Anolis sagrei: one gene and its partner. The protein of the gene in region 1 interacts with the protein of each later gene in a pairwise test. Links are inferred from orthologs where the notes say so. Each region holds a gene or a part of one and is shown on either strand. Other genes may lie near its edges.

Evidence for each region.
Region 2: the proteins of USH1C (region 1) and USH1G interact in binary tests that used the Homo sapiens proteins (3 or more experiments, as listed by UniProt). The link is inferred for Anolis sagrei from reciprocal best matches to the Homo sapiens genes USH1C and USH1G.

What each region holds. Positions count from the first base shown.
Region 1 is NC_090021.1:247,950,074-247,958,056, reverse strand, and holds the start of USH1C (harmonin), read right to left. Parts: upstream 3,066-7,983; 5' UTR 2,928-3,065; coding exon 2,892-2,927; intron 1-2,891. UniProt on the Homo sapiens protein: Anchoring/scaffolding protein that is a part of the functional network formed by USH1C, USH1G, CDH23 and MYO7A that mediates mechanotransduction in cochlear hair cells. Required for normal development and maintenance of cochlear hair cell bundles.
Region 2 is NC_090022.1:116,863,300-116,870,267, reverse strand, and holds the start of USH1G (pre-mRNA splicing regulator USH1G), read left to right. Parts: upstream 1-3,876; 5' UTR 3,877-4,040; coding exon 4,041-4,204; intron 4,205-6,968. UniProt on the Homo sapiens protein: Plays a role in pre-mRNA splicing by regulating the release and transfer of U4/U6.U5 tri-small nuclear ribonucleoprotein (tri-snRNP) complexes from their assembly site in Cajal bodies to nuclear speckles, thereby contributing to the assembly of the pre-catalytic spliceosome on target pre-mRNAs.

The DNA.
Region 1 (7,983 bases):
CCAGGCTAATTTAAGGCATTGCTAGCTCCATTGACTGATGTTTCTAGTTACTTTGGGCAACAAATGACCTAGTTTTAATTCTGTTTTGTCTGAGATACCAGGCTGTCTAATTACTTAGAAATGTATTTGCAGGTGATACAACTCAGTTTGAGTTGTCTTGAGTTTTTTCACTTTGAGATTTTAATGAAAACAGAGGACTAATCATGCAGATTCAATCACTATTTAATGTGTTACTTTACTGATGCTACAGCTTTTATTTATTTGTTTATAAAAATTGTACCCCAACTTTCTCTTAAAGTGAGATACAAAATGGCTTATCTTCAGTGCTGTTTAATATTAATTTAGTCCTAGTAGCTTCCTAGCATCAAGAAGCCAATAAAGCAAGATTTTGAATAGTTTTTTTTCCCTTTGAAGAGCCAGCTTTTTCCATTTATTGGGACTGTGGGGAGAATAGAAGTCTATGTGAATCTTATCAGCATAAAAGGCCACAGGTACAAGGTACAAGACCATAAATATTACGTTAGATACATATGCCAGCTGTCTGTCTGCTGTTGCCCATCCCAATGTTGATAGTTAACAGGTATAAATGTTATAATCATACAACTATGCCCAGTTTTTATTAGAATCATAGCATTGGAAGAGACCTCGTTGGCCATCCAGTCCAACCTGCTGCCAAGAAGCAGAAAAATTGCATTCATAGCAATATTAGTTTTAAAATTGGTGAAAACTAGCTTAATAGTCTTAATATCTATTTTTACAACAGCTTTTCCCTTTCAAGGAATTTTCAGAAATTTGTCTTTAATATTTGATAAGTTTCAGTCTAAGTTATAGAAGACTTAAAGATTAGTGTAACTTTTATCTGTTGTGTTAGAGAGGTCCAATCTAAAAACCAGAATGGAACTCCACTGAACGCAATTAAATGGGGGAAATAAAGATCAAGATTCCAAAGAAGAGGAGACACCAAAATCCAGTTTACCAAAACCAAAGTAATCTAAACACACCTTCAGGATAAAATTCTGTTGATTAATTTTTGTAAATGATCAAATAAACATTGTATAACAGCAACAATGGGGTTATATGGATGGTCTTCATACATTATATGAAGAATGAGGCACAAATATCTGAAGACTCAGCATGGTGGAATGGTTTGAGCATTGGACTACAACCCTGGAGATCAGAGTTCAAATTCTGAGTCACCTATGGAAACCACACTGGGTTTTTTTAATGTCAGGAGCAAATCGAGCCCCCGGAGGCGTAATGGGTTACACCTCCAGCTGGCAGGACTGCTGACCTAAAGGTCAGCGGTTCGAATCCAGGGAGTGGGTTGAGCTCCTGTCTGTGAGCTCCAGCTTCTCATGCGGGAACATGAGAGAAGCCTCCCACAGGATGTTAAAACATCTGGGTGACCACATTGGGTGACTTTGAGGAAGTCACTCTCTCTCAGCCTCAGAGGCAGGCAAAAACAAGCCCTCTCTGAACAAATATTTCAAAGGAACCCCCCCCTCCCATAGGTTAGTCTTGGGGGCACCATAATCCAGGAAGGACCTGTTACACAACAACAACAACAACAACAACAACAACAGGTATTAGATCATTTTTTATAAGGTATACAAGCCTGGAAAACCTGTAGGAGGTGTGCAGACAAATGTTGATCGGTTTTGCATATTCAAACAAGCTGGAACAGCCTTCCACACTCAACAACTTTTATCTCTGATGTGAAACCGAAAAGGGAGCTTTTTGTAAATGAAACCCATTATTAATGCACCACTGACTGAACCTCTGAAAGACAGTTTCCATTTGACTTTGCGGCACTGATAAAAAGAAATAGGTTCAAACCATGTTGCAAGAATATGCCTGTATCATACCCTTGAGTCCAAACTTCCTCATCTCACCCTGTTGACTTGCAACTCTTAGATTCACTTCTTTTAAAAACAAAAACAAAAGAACTATTATATAATAGAAGCTTCTTTGCAACGTCCCTTGGTCCCTGACAGAGAGAGAGAGAGAAAGAGGAAAGGAGGGATAGTGTTTATTTTGGTTTTTGAGTCCCCTGGGGGAGAGAAAGCGGGCTATAAATGAATTATTATTATTATTTGAAACACAAGATGAGTCCACAGCAAACAAAATCATTCTGTGGGCTGCTGTATTGGATCACATGTCAGACACTTCCCAAGTGTCTAGGACTGTGTGATGTATCGGCGAATAATGTGTGCAGATCCCAGTAGGGTAGCAGATGGTAATTTTGCCAGTGTCAATTGTGTTTAAGTGCAGGCCGAGGTCTTTAGGCACTGCACCTAGTGTGCCGATCACCACTGGGACCACCTTTATCGGTTTGTGCCAGAGTCTTTGCAGTTCAATCTTTAAATCCTCATTATTATTGTTGTTATTGTTATTAAATTTTCTTTTTTGTATACAATTGCTCACAGGGAACATTATTTTTGAGGGAGCAAACTTTCCCAAAAGTTCCAAAACTTTGAAGTTTGCTTCTTCCTTTTCTCTGCTTGGCGCTCAGGTGGAATCCAGGTGCCCTTTAAGAGAAAGTGGACCCGAATTCCCACCTGCCCGGGGGAAAAAAGAAAAGAAAAGATGGGTGGATGGGTGGGTGGCAAGAGTGAGGCCAATGCCTCCCTCGGAGGTGCGCCTCGCCGCCTGACCTGCCGGGGAGAAGCGCTTCCTTCCCTGCCCCCTCCCCCCTCCCCCCTCCCCCTCCCCCCCGCAAAGGCCGAGTTAATTGATACCCAGAGTCCAGAGTCCCGCAAAATGTCCCCCGCGCAGCCGACCCAGAGCTAGAGAAAGTGACTCCAAGCTGAGGAGCCAAAGCCGCGGGGGTCCCTTGGCAGGCAAGAAGCAAGCAAGCGGGGAAAGGCGAGGGCGGCCCTCTTCTTTCTTACCTTGTGCCTGAACTCCCTGGCCACCTTGCGCTCCATGGCAATGAATGGGGGAGAGCGAGAGCGACTGCCTCTGAGCTCTTCGCCTTGGCCAGCCTGCGCGCCTGCCTTCCTTCCCTTCCTTCCTTCCTTCCTTTCTCGGCTCAGGTCGGGCGCGCAGAGCTCGGAGTCACCGCCAGAGGGCGCAGCGCAGGGAGGAAGGCAAGGAAAGGGGAGGCAAGGCAAGAGGTTGGGTTCCTTGCAGGGCGGGCTGGCCAGGTGTCACCTTCCCTGTGATAGGAGTCCCCGGTGGTCCAAGAAAGGGCTCAAGGCTGTGAGGAATTGTGGGAATTGAAGTCCAAAACACCAGGAGGGCCTAAATTTGCCCATGCCTGTTGTAGATGCTGGTACACAGACAAATACACACATGGGAGCCAGGCTTCAGCCCCCCCCCCCCGAAATTCTCATGGTGGTCCGTGAGAAGGCCTTACTGGTGCATTATTTAAACTGTTATGTTTATTCATATCATGATCTGATCACCATGCTCAATATATCCCATATGCATGGAGGTATTGGGGTAACGAAACAAAAGGTTTGCTAGGCTAGACCCTCTTTCACTCAGACTCAGCCCCCCCCCCCCCCCCCCCGAATCAAAATCCTGGCTACCGGCCTGATGGGAGCAGTGGTGCACTGGGTCTAAAATATTGGTTACCAGGAGAGCAGTCCCAAAACTATAAGGCTATCATTGAATATATGGCTATCAATGAATGATTTTTTTAAATACATCAGTGGAAAAAAGGTACAATTAAACTTTGCGAAATAAATGTATATTTTTAGTAATTACAGTGCACATAATCCAGTGGATACTTAATGTATATGCCGGATTGTTATATTAAATTTTTAATAATGTTTAATTTGAAATAAATGTTGGATTGTCTCATGTTTAAGGGACCACTTCTCATCATCAGGCAAGCTTTGTGTGCGTGTGTGTGTGTGTGTCAGGAGCGACTGAAGAGGCTGCAAGTCTGGTGTGAGAGAATTGGCTGTCTGCAAGGACGTTGCCCAGGGGACTCCTGGATGTTTTATCATCCTTGATAAAACTTCCACATGATTAAAAACTCAAATATAACAATCTGCATTTACATTAAGTATCTACTGGATTGTGTGCCCTGTAATTATTATTATTTTTGGTCGTGTCAGGAGTGACTTGAGAAACTGCAAGTTGCTTCTGGTGTGAGAGAATTGGCCATCTGCAAGGACGTTGCCCAGGGGACGCCCGGATGTTTTGATGTGTTACCATCCTTATGGGAGGCTTCTCTCATGTCCCCATATGAGGAGATGGAGCTGACAGAGGGAGCTCATCTACGCTCTCCCCGGATTCAAACCTGTGACCTGTTGGTCTTCAGTCCTGCCGGCACAGGGGTTTAACCCACTGTGCCACTGGGGGTCCACTGTAATTATTAAAAATATACTGTAATTATTAAAAATATACGTTTATTTTGCATAATTTTACTTGTGCCTTTTTCCCATTGAAGTATTTTTTTAAAAATCCATTCATGGATGACTATGTTTAAACCAAGAGTGGGGATGCTATATGACACTTTACATGACCAAGTATACCTAAAAAGAAAATGGAAACAATACACTGAAGAACTATATAAAAGAGATGAAAGGATAGCAGGTTCATTCAAGAAAAAATGATTAGAAAATTAAGTGGAAGCTGCAGTAAGAGTACTTGGGAGAAATAAATCATCAGGAACAGGTAGCATATCAACAGAGCCCACATACTGGAAATAATCAAAATGATTTACAATTTTCAAGAAAGGGGAAACCAATGATTGCAGTAACCATTTCATAGATTGTAAAAAAAAAAGCCTTTGGGGGGTATATGTGTATTCTTTATTATTATCATTATTTTTAATTGCATAATTGTATTTTTAAAAATTAATTTGTCCAGGTGAAAGATACAGATCTGGTGAAAACAACAACAACAAAAACCCACTTCAGGATCTAATTGTGATAACTCCATTTGCTGTATCTTTCTGCATTGTTTTCTTAATTTTTATATCATTTAAAATGATTCTATACTTTTTAAAGTTAGTGATGTTTTGATATGGTACCTTATTTAATTGTTTTTATGGTTTTAGTTTGTTTTACCCTTCCTTTAAATTGCCTAGTCCCAAGTTAGAAGTATTTTTGAATGATGATGATGATGATGATGATGATGATGATGATGATGATGGAAGTTCACAATTCATTGTCATGTGAAGACTATAAAATATATCACCTTCATTGCACTGGCTGTCTATTTGCTTCTGAACTCAGTTTAAGATATTATTATTATTAATAATAATAATAATCTTTCTTTATAACCTGCCACAGTTTCCCCAAGGGGACTCGGAGTGGCTTACAAAGGTACTCCAAGGTGCAGCATATAACATAAATGGTATATGACTATAAGACACTCGCTGGAACGCCTCAGCAAGCGAGAGTCCAAAAGTGGCAGGCTCAAACCTAGAACCTCAACCAACGGCTGATACCAAATGAGAGATTCCCCCCTGGGTACACAGAGGACTGGGCGACTTGGAAGGCGCTGAACAGACTGCGCTCTGGCACCAGGAGATGCAGAGCCAACCTTCAGAAATGGGGCTACAAAGTGGAATCCTCGACATGCGAGTGCGGAGAGGAGCAAACCACAGACCACCTGCTGCAATGCAACCTGAGCCCTGCCACATGCACAATGGAGGACCTCCTTGCAACAACACCAGAAGCACTCCAAGTGGCCAGATACTGGTCAAAGGACATTTAATCAACTACCAAACTCACACATTTTGTATTTTCTCTATTTGTTTGCTTTGTTCTGTTAGAAATGTAATATAATTGACTGGCTGCCCTGACACGAGAAATAAAACTATAAAGCAATATCACATAGAAATTATAAAACAACCACCACAAAAGATTAGGACCAGAGATAACAGTGAAGTTGAAGTGGGAGAAATTCAGGACAGATAAAAGCTTTTTTAAAAACCCCGATTATATTCATAATATACATATGTATATCATTCATTCAACTATTTCCCCCACAAATATTAAACAAGTAAAATACCCTAAAATACATAAAACATATAAATAAGAATTCATAAACTTATTTTCCTCACGAATATTATAATCAAATATATTCCTCTATACAACTAAAGAACGATAAAACAAATCGTACAATAGAATATTATCCTCATGAATATTAAGCAAGAATTATCTATTACATAGCACATATGATTCTGAGTACAGTTTGAGTCTCCATTGCAGTATCTCCAAATCAGTCTTGCCAAAAACCAGCAGGCAACTATCATATATGTCTATGCACCAAAACCAGATGCCAGCAAAGACATCAAAGAACAATTCTGCTGTCAGCGGGATATCATCCTATGAGACATACCTAAGGAGAAGAAAATAACCCATTTTCCATACGAATATTAACAACTAATACAGTTTATACTTCAACTGGCAGCAATCTTTCTAGAACTGGCCTGTCAGATTGTTATTCAACATCCTTTGAGAAACCACCAACCCACCCACCAGTGCACTACATTACTAGCTTCACGCCCATCAATTGAGGTTGCATCACTCATATAAAGATATAGACCAGAAGACATAGGGAAATCCAACAATATAGAGCACTTTAAAAGAGGATTAGAGATATTCATGGAGAATAAGGCTAACAAAGGTCACAATCGATATATTACAGCCATGACCAGTGGCACTATGATTCTGAGTACAGTTTGAGTCTCCATTGCAATATCTCCAAATCAGTCTTGCCAAAAACCAGCAGGCAACTATCATATATGTCTATCCACCAAAACCAGATGCCAGCAAAGACATCAAAGAACAATTCCGCTGTCGGCGGGATATCATCCTATGAGACATACCTAAGGAGAAGAAAATCATCCTCCTGGGTGATTTATACACAAGAGTTGGGCGAGATTTCGGCCTGTGGCCAGGAACTATATGGAAAGCCAGGGTTGGAGCAGTAACCCAAATGACACTTTACTTCTCACTAAATGTGCAGAACACAATTTTATCATCACCGACACACTCTCTCACTGGAAAAACAAGTTTAAAACATCATGGAACACCCCTCTGGAAATATTTCTGCTGATGTTTGAGGTATCTTCCTCAGATTATCCACTATTAGTTAGCCACTCCTGTTCTTTTGGCTGCTGCTCTTTTTCCTTTGCAGGTAATACCTGGAAATCAGGAAAATAATTTCTACCTGATGGGACATGTTATTTAAAAAAATGTAGTTCTTTCATGCTATCTCCTAATGAGCTACTCCTGATATTTTGGCTGCTGCCTTTAGTCTGCATTCAGACTGAATCAAAGCTTAGGTGATTCACAGAGGAAATATTTCCAGGGAGCTAGCAAGGTTAATCTATTATGCTGAGTTCTGTAGTACCAAAAAGACTAATAAATGTGATTCATGGCATAAACTTTCATAGATTTCAGCCAAATGAGATTTAGATAATCAAGCTTTACCGGGAAAAGGAATGCCAATCTGTAACTTCCAAGTTTCTCTTACAATGCAAATGCAATATAATATGTTTGACCTTTTAGGGGGCTACATCAATGTCGGGGGGGGGGGGGGGGAGGGCATGAGAATTTACTCTCTCTTCTAATTTTGATTTTCCCATTAGTATTTACAGCAGAAGAGCATTCTTGATGAGGACGTCATTGCTGTTTCACCATCTTACTGAAGTGAATTACTTGTTATGGCTAGAAATACAATACATGGGCACTAATTACAAAGAGGGGAATGAGATCTTTTTAATTACTTACTGTTAACAGACTTCCTAAAGCAGTTTGAAAAAAGACTCTTTTAATCTGACACTATTTCTCACCTGCCATTGGCAGCTTTTAAAGCTTCTGTTACAAGATAGCTGAAAGATGAAGTGAAAGAGACAGGGGGTCAGGGAGTGAGAGTGAGGGGCAGAAAAGAAGGAAAGGAGATAAATAGGCAGAGGAACAAAAAGAGAGAAGGTTCACACAGAATGAAGGAAAGCAGGAAAGGATAGAGAATTAAGAAGGCCAAAAAGGAACACTGTATAGGGGAAGGAAGCTA
Region 2 (6,968 bases), on another chromosome or scaffold:
TCAAATGTAGTTGAAGACACTAATCCATCACTGGTGCTGAATTAAAATTCAACTGACTGTCCAGACAACTTTTGGATATGCAGGAGAAGAAACACAGCATTTTGTCCTTTGACTCAGACTGAAAACTGTCTTGGGTTGTTCCTGTCCTTATGATACCACCTGGAAGATCATCTACCTACCCATCCTATCAGCTGCAAGACCTGTGGGGTCAATGTAAGGGTTGCAGTCAGGTTTTGATGCAAAATTGTGAAGGAAAGACAGTTTTGCTCCACGGAAAGGCAGTGATACATAATGGCTGGAGTACCAGGCTAAGGTAGGGAGATCCAGTTTGAAAATGGAGGTTGATGATAGGAGGAACCATTGAAGAAAAGGCAGGATATATTTGAAATGAAATGAAATACACTTCAGTTTAATCCATAAGCACTTAATTGCAAAGGGTTTGCCTCTGGGAGATGGGAAAATGTTAAATGTGTGGAGCGAGAGGAGGAATTCAAAGACATTGCTGTGTCAGTCTGGAATATCACTATGCAAGAGCATTTTGTAGCACCTTGTAAACTCACTGAAGAGACTAAAGTGGCAACATAAGCTTTTGTAGTCCAGGTCTACTTTAGCCTATCTTGCTCCTGTCCATTTAGCATTAGCTTGATAGGCTGATCTCAGCAACTGAAGCTTTTTTACTGTAATGCAGATCATTTCCACCAGCTACTGACTGTGGAGCAAGCCTGCAAAGCCACAGCTGCAGAGGCAAATTTAAAAGGCAAATTCCATTTTTTTTGCCTTCAAGGGAATGTTGATTATAATTTTGAAGAAGTTTAAATGTCATGGTTGACAGGGACATTGTGTTCCTCTTAGGAAGGAAGTGCCCATAAAGAGCACTGGAAATAGATCATTAAAACAGCAGAGATAAAAATCAAGTTCCTCTATTTGTCTGATTTCTTCTTTTCTCGTTTTCTTTTTTTAATGCTGCCATTTCTCATAGTGGTCATGATGCCTAAAGTCCTCAGTTTTCAAGGAAGCCTTTCCAACTATTCAAGCCTTTCCAACTTTGTCATTTGTAAGATTTCCCTCAGGGAGATAGGGTGAGATAAAAAGTAAAGTTTTGTATTATAGATTTATTATATTATCAGCAAAATATCAAGCAACCAACTCAAGGATGATTGGTAGTCAATAGCATTCCAGTGAAAGGTCCATGAAATTTAAGTGATGGGTGGAGAAGTTTCATTTCCTTTACTATTGTATGACCTCTAGCTATTTTTGACTTATGGCAACCCTAACACAGTATTTTCTGGGCAAAATTTATTCAGGGGGTTCCTTTTGCATTCCTTTAAGGTTGAGAGAGTATGATACGCCTAGGATCAAACCTGGGTCTTCAATGTGCAAACCCTTATATTAGCTCTCTCCAATTAAACAAAGTGAGGAGTGAGTGATTTGTATATGTGTAGTAGGAATAACAGAGTGAGGTCTGTGCATCAAATAGAAAATATGTCTATGTCAGAGTTGGCTTGCCATAAGAAATTCTGAGCTCCAATGGTTTCTAGAAATCTGATGGAGACCTGGAATCTGAAGGTACAATCTCTAGTATACATGTAAACCAATTTTATGTCACAAAAGACATCACACGTCTCCTGCGAAATCCTCCCACGGAACTAGAAACCTGGGTGAGCACTGAAATAACTGAAAACTTATCCTTATCGGAAGTGGGGCCCATTCCCACAATACTATGGTTAACTTGGATAGGAAGCAAATACACTGGACCCTTGGTATCTGATGGAGTTTGATTCCATGACCACCCTACCCAAATCAGTGGATGCTTAAGAACCACTATAAAGGCGGTCCCTGAGTTAGAAACATCTGACTGACAAATGACTCATAGTTAAGAACCGGGTTGAGGAAACAGAAAGTGAGAAATCTACTCATCAAGAGGGAAATCCACTACTGAAAGAGTTATATTGGGGAAAAGGAGTTTCAGCTGCAGCTTTTTCACCAACCCTTGTTTTCACAACAAGCCAAATTTTTCAAAACCCAATTCTCACAGAGACAGAAAGTGAGGTGAAATCTTCTGAACAGGGACACTGATAAGCAAAACAAGCCCCACAGGAGTGTTAACATTTCTCTATCCCTATGCTATGTTATGTATGTATGTATGTGTGCTTGTCTATGTGTTTGTATGTGTTGTTATATATAGTAAAGGTAAAGGTTTTCCCCTGACATTAAGTCTAGTAGAGTCCGACTCTGGGGGTTGGTGTTCATCTCCATTTCTAAGCTAAAAAGCCGAAGTTGTCTAGTGACACCTCCAAGGTCATGTGGATGCCATGACTACATGGAGCACCTTTACCTTCCTGCTGGAGGTACTCACATTGATCTACTCACATTTGCATGTTTTCGAACTGCTGGGTTGGCAAAAGCTGGGGCTAACACTGGGAGCTCATGCTGCTCCCAGGATTCGAAACTGTGACCTTTCGATCAGCAAGTTCAGCAGCTCGGCAGTTTAACCCACCCCACCACTGGGGGCTCCTATGTATATATGGCTGGAGTTACACTTAAAAAACGTTTCTGTTCACATACAAATTCAACTGAAGAACAAATCTACAGAACCTATCTTATTCGTAACTTGGGGATTGCCTGTATAGAATAGCATAGGAAAATGCTGTCCCTTATATAAAATTGCAAAAATCAAGTTTTCCTTTGTTTTTTGGAATATTTTCAAGTATTCCCTTCGCGCAAATATTTCTAGAAATGTGAGTGTCAGAGTCTGAACACTAGGTGGCGCCAGAGACTCAGGTATTTTCAAGAAACCAGAAAAGAGGGAGTTGTTGGTCAGCTGCTCTGCTACTGTTAGAGATCCAGTTCAGACATTAGTCCAAACATTCATGTTTTAGGGATCAACCGAAGACTTTTGAATATGTGTGTGTAAAGTGTGAAGACAGCAAGTAGTTGTTTGAAATCAGAGGCCTAATACAAATACTCCTGACAATGTGGCATTCAGTGAAGCCAGGAACACATAGCAGTCCCAAAGGTAACATGTGAAACAGGCCAAAGAGCCATTTTGCATGCCATTTTTAAAAAAATGTGTGTGCCCTTAGATAACGGACCCCTCTACCTCCATATTCAATCTACAGGAATATGTTTTGTTTTCATCAAGCATTCACTGGGAATCAAATTCTTGGAGGGTTCCCCAAACAATACAAATTTCCAAATACAGCACACGCATAAATTAGATATATCAAATCAAATCAAATCATTTATTTTGGTCATTGACCAGCACAGAAAATTAGATATACATTAACGGCTCTTTAAATATTAAGCTCCTACCTAATATTTTGTACCCAGAGACAGTACACATGGGAGCCTACATTTTATGATGCCTATGCAAAGAATGCTGTCCACGTGCTTGTGTCTGTAAATTTCAGTGTCCACACGCATGTGCTCAGTAGTCCAATATTCACTGAGGAGCAATGCAAATCTTATTCCTTAGCTCAGATTTTGCCCTGAAATTCAAGGGCCTGAGACAGCCTTTACGTGGAAACTCTATATAAAAATACTGGATGAAGGTCAGAGTTTCAAAAGAAAATTTGGGAAGTCAAAAATCTTCAAAATGCTGATGTTCAAGATTTGAAGGAGACCAAGTACAAGAAAAAAAATACTTAAAAGAAACCCCGAGTTAGCTTTAGACATCTTCTAACAGCATGAAAAGATAATATGGTCTATTGTCCACTTTTAGGAAGTGCAGGCAAAAAAAAAAAAAAAAACCCAACTAATTTTACTTGGGTTTGCTGAGGAGAAGTAAACAAATACCAGGGTGAAGAGAGGAATCCTTAGGACCCAGGGGAAGCCACAGAAAATAACCTCATGCATTCAATATGAGGAGTTCCTTCCCTCACTGGCCAGGGACTCTCAGGTGTCCTAGTAACACATCTCCCTCTTTCCTCTTCCGGCAGCTGCTTCTTTGGAAGTCGTTCATCCAACTCAATGCCCCTTCTTTTACGACTGTCCCCACTTTCCTTCCCAATGCTATGGCTAGGGAATAAGGCTGCCTCATCATGAATGACCACTACCACCGAGCAGCCAGGGATGGCTACCTTGATCTGCTAAAAGAGGCCACCAAGAAGGACCTCAACTCCCCCGACGAGGATGGCATGACCCCAACCCTATGGGCTGCCTATCATGGCAACTTGGATGCCTTGCGGTTGATAGTTAGCAGGGGGTAAGTCCTGAGCTTTGTCTGGTTTGTTTTGCTTTGTTTTGGGATTCTGTGGAAACCCCATTTCATGGACAAGTCCCATACAAATAGAAAGGGACAGGTGAACCCATTTCGTGACTTGAGAGGAATCATTGGGTTTCTTCCTGCATGGCTCTATGTAACTTTGAACTTTACGAAGAAGATTGTCATGTTTTAAAGGTCCTGTTAAAATAGGAAAGCTCTGCCTGGATGCAAAGTTTGGGAAGGTCTCATTCAGTGAACAAGAAAACAGTGTTATTCACTCACAGGACTTTTAATGGTCCAGTATGGGAGTGATCTTGAGACACCTGGATATGATTGGCAAAACATATAACAGTTGTTATAAGCTGGGACAGAAAAGATGCTTCCTATCAATCTGTTAACGTTTTTAGGTCTGGCAACCTGAGTTCCAATCTTCTTTGGTTAAGATAGTTGGTAGTCCTCTATTCTTATGTAGATCTGCAGCAAATTGAAACTACTCTAAAAGATGAATTGCTTCCAACAGGGACACTTCTTTTCTCCCACTGTTTCTTTGTATGGGGCAGGGGGAATAAGTTTTGATTTTCGAAGTGGTGCAGCATCCTTTGTGTTCTCTCCTTGGACTTCATCACAATAGAATGAATCCACTTTAAATCCAGTTTTTGCCTCCCATATAATTCTGGGGTTTGTAGGTCAGTGAGTTTAGGCTCCTCCTTCTGTAAGAGGCAGAAATTGGATTTAGGACCCTTCCACACAGCTCTATATTCTAGAATATCAAGGTAGAAAATCCTACAAGATCTGCTCTGAACTGGGTTATCTGAGGCCACCTTGCCATATATCCCAGTTCAAAGCAGAAAATGTGGGATTTTTCTGCCTTGATATTCTGAGATATAGGGCTGTGGAGAAGGGCCCTTAAAGTGGATTTGTTCTCTAGTGTGATGAAGTAGCTTGTAAGATCCATCGTTGAAAAGGCTAGACCAGGCCTGTCAAATTGGTGTACTAAAAATGCAGTTTAGTGTATACTGTTATTTTGTCTGTTACAATCACTGGTGCTGTAAATTATAGAAGAAGAGGAGACACGAGAGGGAGGAGAGGTAATGAGATAACTGCATTCCTTTCCCTGATTATGCGGCCTTGGGCACTCAATCTCTGTCCCCCAAAGGCCAAATTTTACAACATACACAGAGAGAAATAGAGGGAGATGAAGAGAGAGTGATTGAATGAGTATAGGAAGTGTCTTGGTTGTTTATTGCAGAAGTATATTTTGAGATTGACTCTGATCTATTTGTGAGGAATTTCTTTCTTCATGATTCATATCTTCTTCTACTATGAACAAATAACTGGACATTTTCGTTTAGCTACTGTCACGGAAATGCTTTAAGATAGGGAATCTGACAGGCTACTTGAAGGCATGCATGCACACATACATGCACGTGCAAACACACAATTATTCCCATTTTACAGATCAAAATAATTAATCAAAATTATTGTTTTATGTGTTTTTGGTTTTATTATGTTTATTTTATGTGTTGTTTTAGACACATTGTGCCATATGTAAGCCGGCCCAAGTCCCTTCAGGGAGATGGAGGCAGGGTACAAAAATAAAGTTGTTGTTGTTGTTAAATGCAGGATTGCTGGAGGCCACCCACTTAGGGTCCTTCCACACAGCCATATATCCTAGAATATCAAGGTAGAAAATCCCACAATATCTGCCTTTAACTGGGTTATCTGAGTCCACATTCAGAGAATGTGGAATTTTCTGCTTTGATATTCTGGGATATAGGGCTGTGTGGAAGGGTTCCTTAGTCTACAAAGTGTAGCCTGTGGTTTGCCCAAACTTCTCTGGGCCCTTCCACATAGCATTATAACCCAGAATATCAAGGCAGAATAACCCACAATATCTGCTTTGTACTTGAATATCTGAGACCACGTTGCCATATATCCCAGTTCAAAGCAGATAATGTGGGATTTTATTCAGTTGTGTAGAAGGGGCCTCTGATGAAATCCCGGAGCTCCCTTTATTTCTAAAGCGCACAGCAAGCAGTATAGGAATGTAGGGGAAACTTTTGGCCCAAGACAGGCTTTTCCCAGTTTCACAAGTGAAGCCAACGTACAAGGAAAGAACAAATCATGTAAAGAAATGGCTGGCCTTAAATGGGAGCTTTTTGGTATCGGCACAATCAATGGCACATACAGTTTTATAATCACATCTTTTTCTTGTTACTTTCCCCAAGATGGCAACTCTCATATTATCATCAGTGCAAAACTGAATTGTTTTGTATTTCTGACTTGATGTCCTCAGCCGCATATCCTTCTGAGCAAATCTTCATCAACACAGAGGAATGGACTCTCAATGTAACCATACAGCATTGGATCAGAGCTTGAAAAACATCATTTTTGAACTGGTTGGAGCTGGGTAGCTGGGTCTGAGAGATATGCCAAAAAGTACCTTTTAAGCTCTGCACAGGATTGAGATAGTTGTCACAGTTCTCTCAACATGCCACAACCGACGCAGGCAAAATGTACTAGCTATTCCTTTCTTTGTTTCTGTATAAGTCCTATCTAGTAGCAGCATCCCTTTGATTATAAACCTTTGCCAAAGGACCAGAAATGTTGGCTTCAGCAACTACTACTTCTTCTCCATCTCTTGGAAGCGCTGGGGAAACTCAGAAGTCCAAATGGTTCTGCTGTAGAAATATGGCGTAAAAGCAAATTTCTGCAGAAAGATGCCATAGTAATAACATTCAAATTGGAATATACGGTTCCAGTT